Sus scrofa: one gene and its partner. The protein of the gene in region 1 purifies or fractionates together with the protein of each later gene. This does not show direct contact. Links are inferred from orthologs where the notes say so. Each region holds a gene or a part of one and is shown in the gene's direction. Other genes may lie near its edges.

Region 1 (3,512 bases):
CCAATCCATTGTGTGTATCTTTTCCCTTTCTGTTTTCCTTTCATGGATTCAATAGGTATTTTCCTGCGTTGGAACAGATCCTCCAAATATCTGGATGAAGCATATGAGGAGATGGTTAACATCATTGAATATAACAAGGAATTACAAGCAAAAGTAAATATCCTTAGGAGGCAGTTGGCAGAACTGGAGACTGAGGACGGGATGCAGGAAAGTCCCTGATTCCAGATTCCTGCAGGCCTCTAAGGACCATCCGTCCAGTATCCCCCCTCTCTCCCTTGCCCTTCAGTTCACCCTCACACAGTAGCCTTGAACTTAAGGCTTTAGATGTGAGGACCTTCTGATGTAACGGATTCCTCAATACTTTATGAATGACGCTTACTGTACTTACTCATGTTTCACGTGGCCTGTTAGGCCTCTACGCTTTGGGAGCAGGAAGGAGGTGCTAGTCATTTTATTTTATGTGAAACAGGTGACCCATTTAATGCTATTTGTGTTATATGCCATTTCATCACACATAAGCTTTTTCTCTGTGTCTACTTTTCCAAACAGTGCTCCAGACCAGTCAAGGATATGATTGATCTCTTTGGGGAGTATTCGTTAGTTTAAAAAAGGGTCAGACTTTTAAACACTCCAAATATAGAAATATTTTTCAAACCTGAAATGGATAGTAAACCAAGAATTTTGTGTTTAACATGCCATTTCCAATATCTTGGCCACATAAAGAGCCATTCTCTTTAAAACAGTTTTGGACTGACAAAGCTGAAATCATCTTCATTCTAGTTTATCAAGAAAGTAAAATCTGAATATTTACTCAAGGTAAATTATTTTTACAAGGGCAACAGGTATAATTCTCAGATATTTACATTAAGAAGATAAATTTATTTTAACAGTAGACACTAAAAGTATGTGCAATATAGAAATAAAGTAGGAATTTGTTACTGATAAGATATCATATTACTGTTGAATTGGTTTTTCAGGGTTTTGACCATACGTATTAAATGTGTATCAAATGCTGGATGTAACATTAAACCATCATTTAGAATAGAGGTTGTTATAATTAAGCAACAAATGTGGTTTCCTTAAACCAGAGATGCACTGCCCTTGTCTGAAGTTCTTATTGCACTGGTGTATGTATGTGTGTGTTTCATTGTGTTTTATTTTTAAATATTCTAGGAGTTTAAATTTTTCATGTTGGCTTGAGCCTTTTGAAAATTTATCTTGACTCTTGATTTGTCCGTTATATGTTAGGCAAATATAATTTAAGTGGAGGGGAAAGTTTATGAACATGATAGAGCTATGTTTTAAACTTCAGAAGCCAATTCGAAATGCTTCAATGCTACAGAAACATTGATGACTATATTGATGCTATGCTGGTTGGTATATGCCTGCAACTATAAAAAGTTTGTGGTTTGGTGCTTTCCATATACATTTCTGTTTTGTGGCACTGCTCGTTTTAACAAATACTATCAATTATGTTTTCTTTTAAAAGAGTAGTTGAAGAATAATCTTTAATACCGTTTCCATCCCATCTGTATATAACCATTTCATTGTAAAACAGTAAAACTGAACTCTGCTTTAAAGCTATATATTGAGTTAAAAATACAGTTCTTCAAAATCAACTCTAGCAAAAGCTATGGCCACATTCAGAAACCTTAGAAAGGTTTCTATCTCTAGTTTCCCAAGCTTGGTCTTTTTTCTGTTTCCTCAGACTTGTAGCAAAAGGCTGGACAATGGATCCATAGTCAGAGCTCTTTTCTAGTAAACTTATCTGCTTTCTCCTCTAAGCTCAGTTTTATTCCTGACCTATTTTCTTGGCTATAGTTATGAATCTTGAGGCATTAAAGCCCTCGCCTGTAGGCTAAGACAAGGCGCAAAGAAGATGGACTTTCTGGCTATAGATATCTGTGTACTATATGAAATGTCTATATTATTATTATTATTATTATTACTATTTGGCCACACCCACGGCATGTGAATTGTTCCCAGGCCAGGGATAAAACCTGTGCCACAGCAGCAACCAGAGCTGCTGCAGCAACAAGCCTGGGTCCTTAACCTGATATAACATAAGGGAACACCTGTATTAATTTTTTAAAAGAAGAAACAGTCTAGCTTTTTTATGGACCCTCAAAATTGAAGGAGCCTTTTTTCCCCTCATTTAATGGGCCCATAAAGAAAACCATCTAGAGATTTTTTTTAAAGTGATGCTTTAGAAGTGACTCTCACTGGTGATATTATGTGGCCATAACTCTTCTGTGGGTGGAAACTTTGGAGGGAGTTTTTATTAAGCTTGGTCATGGAGAAACTGTATGCTATCATTTTTATACCTGTCTTCCTGATGAACATTTTCTTTGTGAGCCAGAGTACAACAATAGCATAGTGTTTCAGTTCTTCTTTCTCTTATTGAGACAGCAATCATAAACTGTTGGACAAGATGAGTTTTAGTGTTAATTTATAATTAGGGATTGTCCAACCTCAGTGCTGTTTATAGGGAGTAAAAACAAACTATAGTATCAGCGCAGTTTCAAAGGGGTCATCTAATAATGCAAATACTAAAGTTTACCCAAACTTGAGAACTCTGTCAAAGACAAATGCTTTAAAAGCAATATAACTTGAAGAGGGTTTTTAGTAATACTATGAAGTTGCTCATCTATTGGATGAAAAGAATAAATACAATGGATAATATCATGAGGAGATATTTATTAAAGGTTATTTGGAGAATTATCTTTGATAAATATGGCTTTAAAAACTCTAATGAAGAGAATGGTGGCTGAATTAGTGAGCATGCAGATTGCCCCATACAAGCCAGTAATAATCGAGTGAGATATAATCAAATTCATGTACATTAGGCATCTTCTGCCTTTATTTATAGTGAAGGCTGGGTTTACATTTTGCGGATGCAATAAAGGGGGCCCCACAAAGAATATTGTAAAAATACAAAGGATTGCTTACAGTCCTCTTTCATCAGTACAGGGATCCTTAGATTTAAATTAATAGTTTGTTGATTGTATACAAATGTTGAAACTCTTTGGGTGGTAGACTTCAGTAATTGTTCAAAAATGTTCATTTTGATTTCATTAATATGAGAAGAAGACAAGCAGAAATTGTAAAACCTGATAGGCTTAAGACAACCTGTAAATGAATTTTATTCCTAAGAAAAATTAGGCCTTTGAAGCAAGTTTTTGGAAGAGATTTTTTGGAAAGCTTTGGAAGACAATAGTCATTTAAGATCTGTATGGAGAATTTTAAAACTTCTTTGAAGCCTGATTTTGTAGAGGTGATGTCACTGCTTTAAATTTTAAAGGATGAAATTTAGTGAGATTTTAGTCTTTGATTCAGTCAGTATTTAATGTTAAAAAAATGTCAATATCATGGAAAAGATTTGACCAGTAATTATCTCTTGAAGGATAAAATAGGAGCAACATTTTGCTGCATTTAAAGAAAAAAAAAAATCTGCTTAGAGATGTAATTCCTGGAGTTACCGGTTTCAAGATTAACTATTTTAATTGTCAGTC
Region 2 (3,947 bases), on another chromosome or scaffold:
CTATGAACATGTGTATGAGTATCCGTTTCCAATGGGGGGGGATATACCTAGAAATGAAGTTGCAGAGTCATACGGTAATTCTATATTTAACCTTTTGAGCAACTGCCAAGCTGTTTTCCACAGTAGCTAACCCATTGGAGGGCTACAATTTCTCCACATCCTCACCAATGCTTATTATTTTCCATTTTTTAAAAAATTATAGCCTGCATCATAGTGCTTGGATCAATCTTTTGCACAAACTCAGCAGGACCCTCCACTGGATACCACCTAGGAAACAATCAAAAAATAGTAGTATCTGAGGACTAAAATCAGAGTGTCTGAAATGGGAATGGCCCTTAAATATATAGAAACACTCCAAATTTTTATCACCAGGTAGCAGGCTTATGAGTGATTATTATTTGTTTCCTGCTTTTGTGTTTTTCCAAGTTTTCTGTAATGAACATTTGGAAATGTACCTTGCAGCCATTTCCTTCTACTTAAGTCATATAACCCAGGGCTGGTATTTTTCAAACCAAAAGATGATCAATAAAAACAGTTCCACACTTTCATAGAAAGCCAAGGAAGATATTTTTAAAGTCATGAATAAGATCTAGCCCAACCCTCTCATCTAAAGGAGAAAAAATTGGGCCCAGAAAAGGAAAATAACCCAGGCAAAGGCCATAAACTACTATTATCTTGATCACATTTGTTAGATGGCCAAGGAAGGTCAAGGCAAAGCCTTACCTAGACTCTGCTTTTCCTCTTCATTGCATCACATTGCCAAAAGTCCTGTTATACAGCCCATTTGATAACATATCAATGCATCCTGCAAATATTAATTCAAAGCCTACTTGACTGACCAAGGCCCTATTAACTTCATAAGATCAAAGGTGCAAGAGAGAAAGAACAAAATAGGAGGCTAAGATAGGAGGTCAGGGAAGTTTTCTCTGAACTGACATTTAAACTGAGACTTGAGAGTGAAATGCCATCGCAACTAAAGAACACTAACCATATACACATACTTTTTTAAGAAAATTTGCTCACAAGTCTTGATGACTAAGTCAAGGAATCCTGGACAAAGCTGCCCACTCTCACTAGCGTAGTACCCATCTTATTGATGCTAGTAGTCCAGGAAAGGGAAGACTTCCTTTGGGTGTTTAAAAATAACAACTTTAGGATTGGAATCGTAAGGGAGGGATGGACACATGCCTAAATCTAATAGCTTCAGGAGCCGAAATCTCGCCTTCTGACCCTCTGCTCCTGTTTTTCCCAATCTCCTCCATTGCTTTCCTCCAGTCCTTTGACCCTGGAGCCCTTGCGAGTGGTTGGCTAAGAATAGGCCCGCCTCTCGGTCAGGATTCGCTGTAAGCCACAGGAACCCCGCCTCCCCCTCTCATGATTCGCTATTCCTGGGTTCATCCCGCCTCTCCAGAGAAACAATTGGCTTCCCGGCCAGCAGCGCCGTTAGCGTACAGAGGAGCTGCACCTCGGGTCACTGGAGAGGTACTGCACTGACAGCAATGGCAGCCACGGCGTTGGCGGTGCGCTCGCGGATCGGCGCGTGGAGTGTCTGGGCCATGCAAAGCCGAGGCTTCAGCTCTGATACGGTACGCCGGCGGCAGTGCCCGCTACCCCATCCCTGAGCGGGGACTCCCATCTCTCCCTCCTCGCCTTTACCAATGCTCCGGTCTCTCTCCGCAGCCAGAGGGTGTCCGCTCCGGTGCGGGTGCAGTCCGGGACGCCGGTGGAGCCTTCGGAAAGAAAGAGCAGGCTGATGAGGAACGATACTTCCGGTGAGAGCCAAGGGGCCCAGAGACCAGCCCTGGAAGTCTCACGGCCTTCCAGTCCTTCTTAAACTGCCAACGGCCCCACCCTGCTGCCCTCCCTGGTGTTCTGTGGCGTCCCATCTCCCAACAGAACTTCCCAGCCCCGACCCACTACACTCATCGTTTGATGGCCCTACTGTTGCCACCTATAGGGCGTTCCCACTGCCCTGCCGAATCCCAAGGCCCCCAAACCCAAGACATTTCCACCTGCGAGTCTTCAGAATTCGCCAACACGGCTCAATTCTTCCTGAATCATTTACCATCTCCGCCCGTGGAGTTCTCTCCGCGTCATGCGAAACGCCCCCCAGATTCCTCCCAGAGAGTCTAGATCCGAAGGTTCCAATTACGTGCAGACCCTCTGAGCCTATCCCTCCGGCCTCCCCCACCCATCACCCAGGCCTTCGCTTTGCTAGCCCGCATGGATGGATTCCCTGACCTCAGACCCTCTCAGCCATTTCTAGATCCTCACACCTCTCCAACTTGCCTGAGCTAGTGGGTTGCAGGAGCATGTGGCAGCTGCTCCTGGTTGGAACCCTCCCCGCTTCTTGTGGGCTGGGCCTATATACTCTGTTTACCAACCTTGAGTTATCTCACAGGGACTGCTAACCACAGTGAGGAGCAGTGTGGAATTAATCTCGATTCTTGGCCTATCTTCTCACTTCTACCCTCTCCTGCTCACTCTTAAGAATTATCACCATAACAGCTACCATACCAGAGAGACAAGGTGCAGCCCTTAGAGACCTCTAATTGGCCTCCTACATTTTATAGTTAAGGAAAACTGAGGCCCATATATGGCCGAACCAACGTTTGAATCATCCCTTCTTGAGACCTACATTGGACTGCCAGGCATTGCAAGAGTCCCCTTCTTTTTTTTTTTTTTTTTTTTCCCCCTTCATTTTGACCTTTACAGTGGGCCTTGCATTTCCCAGGCAAAGAAAACTGGGATAGGACACATATATTTGTCCTTTAACGGTACCCCATTGTACATTCCCCCCACCGTTTGCTCTTTTTTCACCCCAAAAGGGATTCTATGTGTTATTCTCTAATAAGTCCCCCTATTAGAGACTTATGTCACACCTTTCTGGAGTTTTCTACTCTAAAAAGGACTCTGAAGGGAATTGCTCCTTAGTGGTGAAATTTCAGACACTGGCACCAGGAAAATGGAATCATTATGGCCATCTAGAAATGATACATCTTAAGATGGAATATTCTTTTGTAGCGGGGCCTGAGAGGGTAGAAGAGGATGACCAGCCAGACCCCAATGGGATTGGGACTCCTGTTCTTTACCTTAGGTATTTCAGGTTATGCTTAGAGATCTCTTTAGGGTGAAGGATTAGGATTAAACCAAGAGCCACTGTGTCCTTGTAGAGCTCGGGCTAGAGAACAACTGGCAGCCTTGAAGAAACATCATGAAAATGAGATCTCTCATCACGTGAAGGAGATTGAGCGCCTGCAGAAAGAAATTGAGCGGCACAAGCAGTCAATCAAGAAACTGAAAAATGATGATGATGATTAAGTGCACACAGTTACCCATAAAATGGGCACCTGTTATTGCCCACTTCTATGTAGCCATCATTCTGGTTTTAATTAATAGCTATCTGTGTGCTGCCAACAAATTACAATAAATTGTATCAGTGCACTGTGTCTAATGCCTTCTACTATCTGCAGAGGGGTAGGGGAGCACACTGCTGGACCACTAGAATAAATCAGACAGGGTTCCTGAGGTAGGGGACTGGGAGATGAAGCACAGTGTGATGAGTGCTGTGCAACATGAGGTTACTGGTGTGACACAGAATGGAAAGGCCCCTTTCCATGTCTTAACGCCAGTCAAGTTATTCAGAGGTTCCTGTTGTGGCTCAGCAGATTACAAGCCCAACTGGTATCCATGAAGATGCAGGTTCAACCCCTGGCCTCATTCAGTTAAGGATCTGGCATTGCCCCAGGCTGTGTAGGTTGCAGATATGGCTCCGATCTGGAGTCTGGCTGTGATGTAGGCCCACAGCTGCAGCTCTGATTGGACCCCTAGCCTGGGAATTTCCATATGCCACAGGTGCACCCCTCCAAAAAAAAGAGGTTTTCAGAGAGCTTGGATAAACCTCAATCCAAAGTGTAAGATCAAGAGTAGCCTGGAAAACAGGAAGG

What was found.
Region 2: the proteins of MTMR9 (region 1) and ATPIF1 purify together in Homo sapiens (affinity purification with mass spectrometry; 5 studies listed by BioGRID and IntAct, with this or other methods). This does not show direct contact. The link is inferred for Sus scrofa from reciprocal best matches to the Homo sapiens genes MTMR9 and ATP5IF1.

What each region holds. Positions count from the first base shown.
Region 1 is NC_010456.5:14,499,468-14,502,979, forward strand, and holds part of MTMR9 (myotubularin-related protein 9), read left to right. Parts: intron 1-55; coding exon 56-219; 3' UTR 220-3,512. UniProt on the Homo sapiens protein: Acts as an adapter for myotubularin-related phosphatases. Increases lipid phosphatase MTMR6 catalytic activity, specifically towards phosphatidylinositol 3,5-bisphosphate and MTMR6 binding affinity for phosphorylated phosphatidylinositols.
Region 2 is NC_010448.4:85,305,773-85,309,719, forward strand, and holds ATPIF1 (ATPase inhibitor, mitochondrial precursor), read left to right. Parts: upstream 1-1,469; 5' UTR 1,470-1,499; coding exon 1,500-1,586; intron 1,587-1,680; coding exon 1,681-1,772; intron 1,773-3,173; coding exon 3,174-3,321; 3' UTR 3,322-3,439; downstream 3,440-3,947.